Arabidopsis thaliana: one gene and its partner. The protein of the gene in region 2 interacts with the protein of the main gene of each other region in a biochemical or structural test. Each region holds a gene or a part of one and is shown on either strand. Other genes may lie near its edges.

What was found. Proteins that work in one complex are often made in the same cells at the same time.
Region 1: of the proteins of PIN4 (region 2) and D6PK, one has a biochemical effect on the other in vitro, tested with the Arabidopsis thaliana proteins (one study listed by BioGRID).

What each region holds. Positions count from the first base shown.
Region 1 is NC_003076.8:22,639,294-22,644,234, forward strand, and holds D6PK (D6 protein kinase), read right to left. Parts: upstream 3,122-4,941; 5' UTR 2,816-3,121; exon of another isoform or gene 2,570-2,815; intron 2,453-2,569; 5' UTR 2,342-2,452; coding exon 1,707-2,341; intron 1,624-1,706; coding exon 762-1,623; 3' UTR 520-761; downstream 1-519. Other genes in the region: AT5G55900 (Sucrase/ferredoxin-like family protein), read left to right, coding at 1-309.
Region 2 is NC_003071.7:179,501-185,782, forward strand, and holds PIN4 (Auxin efflux carrier family protein), read right to left. Parts: upstream 4,265-6,282; 5' UTR 3,700-4,264; coding exon 2,505-3,699; intron 2,348-2,504; coding exon 2,080-2,347; intron 1,941-2,079; coding exon 1,855-1,940; coding exon of another isoform or gene 1,844-1,854; exon of another isoform or gene 1,478-1,843; coding exon 1,320-1,477; intron 1,226-1,319; coding exon 1,149-1,225; intron 1,045-1,148; coding exon 978-1,044; 3' UTR 533-977; downstream 1-532. UniProt on the Arabidopsis thaliana protein: Acts as a component of the auxin efflux carrier. Plays a role in generating a sink for auxin into columella cells. Maintains the endogenous auxin gradient, which is essential for correct root patterning.

The sequences.
Region 1 (4,941 bases), on a different chromosome or scaffold from region 2:
ATCTGTTGCCAGTCTCGAGCTGTCCCAGAGCTGAACGGTAGTGGTTGCCAACAAAATGGGAACTCCTCTTACTGTCTGGAGGAGATTCACACAGAGAAAAATACCTCGGAGAGAGTAACCTCTGTAAAAAATGCATCTCTTCGGATAGGAAGCAGCGAGAATGGATCTTCTGGTGGATTCAAGGTTTGTGCGGTGATGTCAATGTGGTTGGAGACTTGGGAGAGAGAAGATACATATGCTGCTTTAGCTGTTGCTTGTGCTGCTGCATCTGTGGCTATTGCTTATAACTGCTATAAACAATTGAAATGAAGCTATGTGTTTTATATTTAGCTTCTATGCAATGGTAATTATCTCAGTCTTTAGATTAGTTGTTTCCTCTTCGTCTGTACAGAGTTAGAAGAGGGTTTTAACTCTTAAGTAAGAACTGCTTGTTGATAACATATGATTATTATATATCCATTTGTAAGTAATTACGGGTTTAGTCAATTTGGTTTAGAGTTCAGATCAATGAAAAGCAAGGAACTTTTGAGGTTTTGATATGGTGGATTAATGGATTCTCAATGGTTCGTGTCTAACATTAAACTCAAGAAGATGGTACAGAGACTGTCTCACAACTTTGAAGAATGATTACAAATCTCATAACTTTTTCCAAGACGTGAAAATTAAAAAGAAGAAAAAAAAAGAAACACATTTGTAGAAAACACTAAACAGAATTTGCAAAGAAACAATAATGAGAATCATCAACTGTGGAAACAGTTTCTTCAGAAGAAATCAAACTCAAGATAATTACTCTGATCAGATCTTACACTCGAAGATGCGGCTGCTGGCACAGTAGGAGTAGGATTCAAAGCTTCAAGATCAACCGGTTTAGGAATCTCCGGTGGACTGGCACATCGAACCAGAGCCCAATTCACTCCTTCAAAGAAAGGATGTTGCTTTATCTCTGTTGCTCCACGCTTATAAGCTAATCTATGTTGTGGCTCCTTCACAAGCAAACTCCTTATCAAATCCCTAGCTGCGAAGCTAACAACCGGAGATTCAGGGAATCTAAGAGGCTGACCAACCACGTTGAAGAGCGTTGCTCGATTTCCTGACCCTTTAAACGGTGTTTTACCAAACAATAGTTCATAAAGAAAGATCCCAAAGGTCCACCAATCAACTGCACTTCCATGTCCTTCACCTTTGATGATCTCTGGAGCTAAGTACTCGTGTGTGCCAACAAAAGACATAGAACGGGCGCCTGTGGGCTCTGCAACGAGTTCTGGTAACGGAGTTACTTGGTGGTTCCCGTTTTCGGTTTTCGGTTTCTTGTCTTTCTTGGATTTCGATGAGAAGAACCGAGGACCGAAGCAAGATGTTGGAGCCATTGAGATGCAAGATGGTTGCTGGATGCATGCAGGTTGTTGCGAGCAAGAAACCGAATTCTTCGACAAGCCTTCGGATCCAACATTAGCTGATCTGACTATAGAGAGGCTCACAGTACATCTCAGGGAGAGATCAAAATCCGAAAGCATCACGTGCCCATCATCTCTCACAAGAACGTTCTCGGGTTTCAGATCACGGTAAATGATCCCAAGCATGTGTAAATATTCCATTGCAAGAAGCACTTCCGCGACATAAAACCTGCAAAACAGCAAGTCACTAAGGTTATATAAACGCACAAAACTAGATTCTTAGATAAAGAAAGTTTAGAAAAAGTTTCTTACTTAGCTGCTTGCTCGGTGAAGCGTTTCCCGGGTTGTCTCTGCCTTAGTGTATGCAAATCACCACCAGGACAAAACTCCATCACCAAACAAGAGAACTTCTCTGTCTCAAAATGACTATACAAAGTCGGAAGAAACGGGTGATCAAGACACTGCAATATCTCTCTTTCAGTTTGAGCCCTAAGAAGCTTTTTCCGGCTAGCCAAAGCAGTTTTATCCATAACCTTCATCGCAAAATAACACCTAGTTCCATTCAACTCAGCAAGATGAACAGTTCCAATATCTCCACATCCTAACCTCTTCAAGAGCCTAAAATGATTCAAACCCAAACCACCATGTTTAGTTCTAACAGCTTGAATAGCTTCCCATCTCACATCATTAGCCTTGTGAGGTTTGTTGATACTGCTACTAAAGCTGCTACAAGTGCTCTCATCGCTTATATCACTGCTTGTACTTGGTCTACAAGTGCTACTCTTTCCACTCTCACCTTGCTCGTTGATCTTACTATTACCGGTTTTGCCATCACTACTTGGATCAGCGAAAGACAAACTCGAAGATACTTGATCTGCTAAAGTGTTGATTGACATACTTTGACTGGAATTGGTAAGTGATCCTTCTGGAGTTTTTGAAGCCATCATTAACACAGAGCAATCTTAAACACCAATTCCTTCTTCCCTGAGATTTAAAGAACTTGTCTTTACTCTCTAGTAATCAATACTGTCACAGATTCCATCAACGAGTGGCCTGATCTATAGTCATCAAAACAAAACAATAGCATCAGTTTAAAGCTGGATTGAGAAGACTCAGAAACAACAATCACGGATCTTACTACAGATGAAAGTTTAAGTAGATGCACAAAATTTTACCCAAATTGAAATATCAAATCTAAGTGACAAATCAATTAAAGCTCTTCATGCAAAAAGTTTGGATTTTTATTTTGAGTCTTTAAGGGTAAAAACAGATCTCGTTAAAGTAAAGAAGAAGAAGAGGCAAAATAAAGAACTTTTGGATCTAGCAAGAATCAGAGAATAAAACCCAGAAAAAGAAGAAATAAAAAGAACAGAGCTTTAGAGAGAGAGAGAGAGAGAGAGAGAGACCCAATAAATCGTTACCTGAAAGTGAAGATTTTTGAGCGATAAAGATCACGAGATACCCTTTTCGAAGCAAAGGGAAGGAGAAGTAGAAGAAAAAAGGAAGGAGAGGGAAAGAGAGAGAACAGTCACTGTTCATGTAAGGCTGTAGAGAGAGAAAGAGATGTAAGAACACATCTGCTTGCTTCCATGGAAATGGGGATAGATAGAGAGAGGGAGAGAGAGGAGAGAGTGTTGTTAAGAGAGAGAGAGAATTGGGTCTACCATGAAAAGAGGGAAGAGGAGAGAGAGGGTCAAATAAAAAGTTGAATACTTTTTTTTATTTTTTTTATTTTGAGGGAATTTCAATTATTTCAATGTATTTTTTTTTGTTTTCTCCAAAATGGAAGACATATGTTTACATCAAGAATGCTCTCGCGAGCTGTTAATAATTTTAGGCTTTTTAGGGCAACCAAATTTTTATTGATACATGTTATTGTATATTTCCTACATGTTTACTTTATATTTTGATTTTCTAAATAATTGTCTATAGAAATTTTTATATATATTTACCAAAAAAATTCCTTTTTGATTCTTTAAATTATTAAACACATCAATTTAAATTATTAAAATTCAACATTCTTATCTTTCATCTATTCTCATGAATCTGTCATGTGCCTTTTACTTGATGATAAAAAAAATTGATGTTTACCTCTATGCATAAATTTATGGATTTTACATATTTAGCTTAAGTTTTCACACGAGTTTTTCAGTTTAGCAATTCTAAGTAAGAACTATTGTGAATGCACATTTTTGTTAGAAGGACAATCCCATATGCGTGCCACCAAACTATAATTTTCTGTTTTATTTATGCGGTTTGGAAAACATCGTCCTAAGCGTATGTTTTCGTCATCATGCAGCATCTTCGGAAGTTTCTTCTTGTGTTCTAATGGGTGAAACTTGAGGCATTAAATGAACATTAGCGCATACCATATCACAAAGAGTTTTGCATCTTTTCGGATTGCCAATAGATGATAAATCTTATAAGCTGAATGAAGACATAACAATAGATATTTTATATCTCGATTTCTTTTGTTATCAATTCCATTTACATCCAGTGTTCATCCAATTTTATGGTCGAAATAATACTTTCTAAAAGCTTGTTAGCATCCGTCAAACATTCTGTTTTCAAATTTTTAGTGAAAGTTTTTGTCATTTACCAAAATCAATAAAAAAAAATCTTTTAAGTTTTTAAAAATAACTAAACATTCCAAAATTGTATAAACCTTTAAAAAATTTCCCTAATAACAAATACGTAAATTGGTCATGTGTATTAATTTTATTTTATTTTTTTACTAAACACACCAAACAATTATTTAAAATTAGACTCACCATTGTTTGAAACTTGAGAGTTCCAAAAGATGCCCCTAAAACTTTTCAGCAAATTCTTATTTATTGCCCAATAATAAGTTTCCTTAGATTCTAAGATTATATTTCATGTATTTTATTTTTTTTCCCCCACATTTAAATCGAACAGAAACAATGTTTTTTTAGAAATGGTTCAACAGGTAGTTGACAAACCAGAAGATTGTTCAACATAAAAGAACACAAGTGGGTATAATTTGTTCATTTCCTCATATCTCAAATAATTCATATTTTAACCTCATGCTCTTATTAGATCCAATTACTGCGTCAATTTTTAATCGAGAAGCTCAGATCCAATAACGACAATTGCTACACGATCGGCTTGTGACGTGAAACGCGAGTGGGGAATCTTTCTTCATTATAATCCCATTTCTTTAGGTTAAAAATACTGCAATAATAACAAAATAAAAGGTTTAGTTTATTAAAATGTTTTGTTTACCATGATACTTGAGGGATTAAGGTTTCTAAGTTTCTTCATTACAATTTAAATCATAGCTGGACACTGTCACTAAGGATGCTTTAACATTTAAATGGTAAGAATATCCATTTTTATACAAGTTTCTAGGTTTACTCTTAGATTTAGATCGAGTCCTCTCAAAGTCTTAATTATATTATTTTCTTAACAAATTCATAGAGATTCAATGGTTAAAAGATTTATCGTGAAAATTAAAGATTCGAGTGTTCCTACAATGAGATTAATCATTATTGGTGGTAGTTGTGAATGCTTTAAATAGCAAAAATAC
Region 2 (6,282 bases):
TTTTTCTATAAAGGGTGGTCTTTAGATTCATGTGCGGAAGTTCACAGAATTTGAAGTTAACATAAACTTTTTGAGATTTTTTTCTGCTAGAGATCGTGTATTCTTAAAAAAACGGGACCGTAAACATGCATCGTATGATCATAGGATTAATTAATTAGAGATTAGGATTTTGCTTCTGTCGTAAAACAGTGTTTGTTATCAAGGAATATGCTTAAATTAACTGTAATAAAATAAAATTACTGTCTTTTGAAACTTTTGCTTCTGACTGTTCAGACCTGATTTCTATCATTGACAATCAAGACGATTGACCGACATTCGCAGCGGAATTGGCATCCTATCGCTCCTTAGTTTGTTTTTTCCTTTCTTTCCGTATTAGATTTTTTTCTCGTAGTTTTAACACTCGAACTGATTGTTTAGCTAAAAAAGCTCGGGGTAGAAATAATATTTTCTCCTATGTAAGCATAATGGTTCATGAATGGCTCTCTCTAGCGGAGAATCTCTTCCCGATGAATTAATATTAATGGTATTTGTGGAAAAAATAAATCAGTACGAGGGTGTATATATATAGTATAGGACTATTTCAATCCAACTCATAAGCTAGTTTCAGTATAAACCACTTAACTAGAAACTTCAATTAATAAAAAAAGGTGCATATTACATATCTGCTTAGCCAAAATCTACACATAAATTAACAAAAACAGAAAATGAAAAAATAAAGGTAAGGAAGAGAGATTTTTTCTTCTTGGCGTCTAATGAAGACAAGATCCTTAATCCATTCAAGTCTTGTTCACTAAATCCTAAGTACTTTTGTTGTGTTCCACAAATATTGGAACCAAAAACCAAAGGCATATCTTCTTCTTCACCTTCCACTCTTTCCCACGAAAAATAAAGGCTTTGCTTATTTCCTCGTTACCGAGAAATAAATAGCCCAATCTCCGAGGCTCTCTCAAAAGCCAGTTGATACTGAAGGGACCAATTCAAAGGCCAAGAAGAATATAGTAGACCAGAGTTATAGGTAAGGCTATTAACATTCCAAATATGACCCTGCATCCATATTTTTCACCATCATTCACACATTTGTTAATATATTGTAAGTTTGTAACAAAAATAAAAATGTGGCTGTAACATAAAATAAGTTTGGAACTTACCCAGTGCTTAGAATCGTGGGATGCACATTGTACTCTTTTGCAAACACAAACGGAACTATTCCTTGAGGCAACGCAGCCTAATAATTCATGCATTCATCAACATCATCATCGTGATCATGTAATATTTATAATAGACCTAGCTATATCATGTAACGTTATAAATTTGTATACCTGAACGATGGCTATACGGAGAAGGTCGCCGTGTAAGCCAATGGCAATCCCAGCAACAGCCATGATGGCCGGACCGGTTATAAATCTGACCGCCATGGCAAACGTGGCGACAGAGTTCCCACAAGCAATGATTTTGGGTTGAAGTGCCATGAATAAACCTTAAAATTACACCAAAAATAAGCAATTCATTAACTAAAAGGATTTGAGAAAATTGACAGCAAAGAGTTAGGTCATCTACTTGGTGAGACCCAAATAAGTAGACAGAGCCAGTGGGGACTCGGCGTGGGGACCGGACACACCAACATGTCTGGGTCAGAGGGTCAGGATTCTCTCTTTGGGTAAGTGCTTTGTACAGTTTATATGACTTTTACCAATTACAAGCTGGACAACTACGACTAATTAAACACACAGACCCACTTTGCATTAAATGAATCTTTTTTAACAGATAAGATGAGAACAAATTTGAACCCAACTTTAAAGATTAGATCATCATCAAAACAAGTCTAGATTTGCATGAAGCAAGGTTAGTGTTTACCTAAGCTGAACATAGCCATTCCAAGACCAGCATCTGAGAGTATGGAGATGGATTGTTGTAATATTTTGGGCATAGCCACATGCCACCTGCTTCCAAAAACAACCCATACTCATTATTAGTTCCCACTACAATTATTCCATGCATAGATGATTATATTATTTCCTTTTCTTATTATAACATTTATCCATAAAATCTGTAAGTAAGAAAATGATTGGACTCACTGACCGGTAAGCAACAAGAGCCCATATGAGACCGATTAGACTGGAGTACGTGTTTGGGTTTCTGATCAGCTTTCTCCACACCATTATCAATATCAGTCGTGTCATCACACTTGTCGGCGGCATATGTGTTCCGTTGTTGCCGCCGCCATCTCCACCAGCCGCCTCTAGCTCCGCCGTGGAATTAGACCCCATTTTATTCAGCCCTGCTGTAGCTTTCTCTATCTCTCTTTCTCCCTCTCCACTATCAAGACCGCCGATATCATCACCACCACCTGAGAAAACCAAAAATCATGAATACATACAAAAATAATAGTATTCGAATAATAATAAAATTAAACCAACAAACCTCTAGCATATTATTTATGTAAACAATTTTCCGCAATTTTAGCTAAATAATATTTGATGACAAAAAAAAAAAAAAAAAAGAACCTCTAGCATTACTCTTTCGAGGTTGATCAGAGACAACCATCCGAATCTCCTTAGCACCTTGTTCAGATTGTTCCGTTGCCACGTTGTCGCCTGCACCTCCGCCAAACACGTCGGAGACCGGAGAAGCGCTTGAGCTCCAAACAAACATGTGAAGCTCCTTAGCGTCATGGCTCGCTTTGCTATCTTTCTCTTGCAGTTGCTGTTGGTTTTCTTTAGGAATTTTATTCGGTTTAGTTGAAACACCCGTACCGGTTGAAAACTCCGGGTTCGGAGCCGGGTACGAACCGGCCGCCGGAACAGAACTGTTAGTGTTATTGTAAAATCCATATTTAACGGCGTTGTTCTCTTCGAAGTTCGAAGGCCGTGGAGTCGGACCACGAGAAGATTGAACGGAGTACAAATCCGCCGGACCAAAATTCGAAAGCCTCCCGCCGGGAAACCCCATAACAGAGTAAAAATCAGAATGGTTAAAGTTAGAACCTCTCGGAGTCGAACTAAGACTATAGATCTCAGCTCCGGTAAGATTCGAAGGCCGTGGAGTCATCATCAGTGACCGTCTCGATGCGTTTGATTTCCTCACGGTAACATGAAGCTTCCCGTCGTTTCCTATCTCAGCATCCGTCTCAAGAAAATCATGACCGTCGAGAGAAACGACGTCGGATTCAACTTTAAACGAAACAATAGACGCACCAGTCTCCGGGAACTGCTCCATAATAAGAAGCTTAGCGCCACGGTACTCGAAGAGGAAGAGAAGGAGAGTGTACCAAATGATACACTGAAGAACAACGACTTGGACCATTAGAGAACCTGCGTAGGTTCCGTACATGGCGATCAACAGAGGGATCCCCATGACAAGAGTGTTTGGGAGAGTGCTGAGAGAGAAGATTGTGATCATCCACTCCAAGCTACCGTTCTTGGTTAGGTTAGCCCATAGAGCAAGTAAGACGAGCATGATGATTTTTTGAAGCGTGTCGGCGGCGACGAAGCGGAAATTCATGGCGTAAGGATCGTTGGTGGAGATGAAGTGGAAGGAGAGGAGAGGGACGGCGAAGATAGCGACGAAGCGGTTGATGCCGGAGCACTGGTCTGGTGAGAATATCTTCCACCACTGTACGGATCCGTAGGCGAGAATCATAGCTACGTAAAGTGGTACCACGGCGGTGAGGACGGTGTACAAGTCGTGCCACGTAATCATTTTTTCCGGTGGGTTTTGGAGTTTAGTGAGAAGACAGTGGCATTTGAGGGGGAATTAGAAGGAAGAAGAGGGGTAGAATGGGAAGAATAATAAAGAAACCGTTAAGAGAGAAAAGTACAGTAATGATTTACAAGGATTCGGTGAAGAGGACTAATTTATAGAGGTTTTTGAGGCAGTGACAGTGTCATCATCATCATCAGCACACGATTACGTTTTTTAAGTTTGATTAATAATTTGATTTAAAATGGCTTTGTGTGTAGTTGAGTGGGGACACGTGGCAAATCGCATGTGGGGGGAGTTTTCTGGAGGGACGTGGACAGTTTTATGGAATAGTCGTGCTTTTTTGCTACTATCTTATTACGAAAAAGTGGTCTTGTTTTTGCACTTTTTGAAAGTTGCAAAAGGAACTTTGGCGAATACTACGAATTACTGTATCTGTGATCGTTTTTCTTGTAAATGTAATTTGAGTTTTGATTCCAAATAGAATCAAACTATTGTCTACGTACTTGGTACAAGAAGACAGCCACATAAAAATTACAAGAAGAACAAATGTCATTAGTGTTAGGTCCAAGCCACTGTTGGACCGTTGAATTAATTACACACATTTATTCCCTTTTCAAAAATTCTCACTTGCTATGACTAGAATAATATTTTGTTTTTTGTTTTTGTTTTGTTAAACTTGTAAATATCATTAAAAATAAAATTTGAGGTATTACAAAAAAAATATTACTTATAGTTACTTATATTACAAAAAGTATTTACAAGCTCACATCTCGTCATTTTCTCACTCTTAAAATTTTACTCTCCCTTATCTCTAAAACTTCAGCCGCCGCCTGCGTTTAGGGTTACCGGTTCCGGTGGCTTTCTCAGCACCGGAACCGAAGTCTTTTGTTTTGCTCTTATTCTATCTTTTTTCTTTAGACACATCTGAGAGATTTTTTTCCAACGGTTGTGAATCTGAATTTTCAGATCTAGATATTTAAAGTCTAAAACTTTTTCTTTTTAGGTTTTTGCTGTTTGTCTTTTGTCTTTTTCAAGAACAGAGTCAGATCTGGCCGATCCATCCAAGGCAGAAGCGTTTCTATCCAAATTTTCGCCTCAGACTTCTGAAATTCCACCTGAAGATCCCGATCTCGTTCTCTCCTTCATGAGGCTCTCACTCCTTTGGGTCTCTGGATGATGGTTTTATCTCATCGCCCATTCGTGTTTAGGTTGAGTTAAGTGAGGCTTCTAGTCTCAGATCTATCAGTTTATCATTGTTGTTTTAGACTTTGTATATTTCGTTTGAACTCTTGGATTTTGGGTCTGGGAAGTACTTGATCAGATGTGATGTAATTTGTTAGATCGGTTTTTTTCCCCTTTGTTTCATTTAAATATGTTTTTAGTTCCTGGAAGGTCCCATGTACTCTCCGGCTTTTAGAAGAGTGTTTCTCTTGTCAGCTCTTGTACTCAGATCTTCTATCAATGAAATCTATATTTCCAGTGAAAAAAAAAATAGTTATAGATAGATGTTGGTCTGAGACTCTCCGACTCATTAGACCATCCTCATCGAATAATTTTTCATAGATGTATTTCATATAAAATAATATTAAAGGTATAGATGTCTTAAATGTTTTAGGAAGATATAATTTTCATTTTAATGACCCTCATATTTTTTATTTGTTTTACTCTTTTATATTTAAAAATAGCCATCTAAAAACACTCATAAAAATAACCAATGTGGATACTCTTAAATCAGTTTGGACATAACCAACAAAAAGGAAAGAATAAAGAAGTAGGTGGTCGCAAAATCACTAGGATTTGATAGATTCAAGCAGAAACTAAAAGGAGCGAGATTTCTGGGAAATATCAGAGAAGCAGACGAGGTCAAGTCCTATAAATCTGATGGAGAGTAATGTATAGAGGCATCAATTGTACACTAGAAAATCCCTAATATTACTTACTCATCTAGCTCTAAGAAGTAAGAACATCTCAGCGAAATCTTTGTAACTTTATTTCGGTATATAAAAGTCCAGTTTGATTCTTAAAATTGTGATCATGTTTGATTCGATGGAGGACTAGTTATGCGATCTTGCATCCACAATAGAGTAATATTGACCAGAAAGAAATTACAAACAAAGTTACAATAGTATGACATGGAAAAATACCAAATCCAAAGGATCATCAACGTTGGAATGTAAAAATTTTGATTTGTGTAACTCATAGTCATAGGATGTGTTCGAGGAGTGAATAATCTCCCATGCTTAATACTAGTATATATCTGGATGCGAAATTCGCAATTTTTTTATTTTTGTAGCGAAATGGTAAAAAGAGATTCAAAACATTCATCCAGCAATCACTTTAATTAATCCGAATGATTGCAAATGAAAATAGATTCTTTATTGAACACATATGTTTACAAAACAAGAATAGTATTTTTTTCTCATAAGCCTTCCGGAAAAAGTCTACTTCATCATAGAAAAATGAGAAAAATGATCAATGATCATCTATGAGATCAACGATCATAGATGGGATTTGTAACACAACAACACAATAACGGGTTTCATCAATTTTCAAGTCTACTTCATCATCCATCAAGACTTT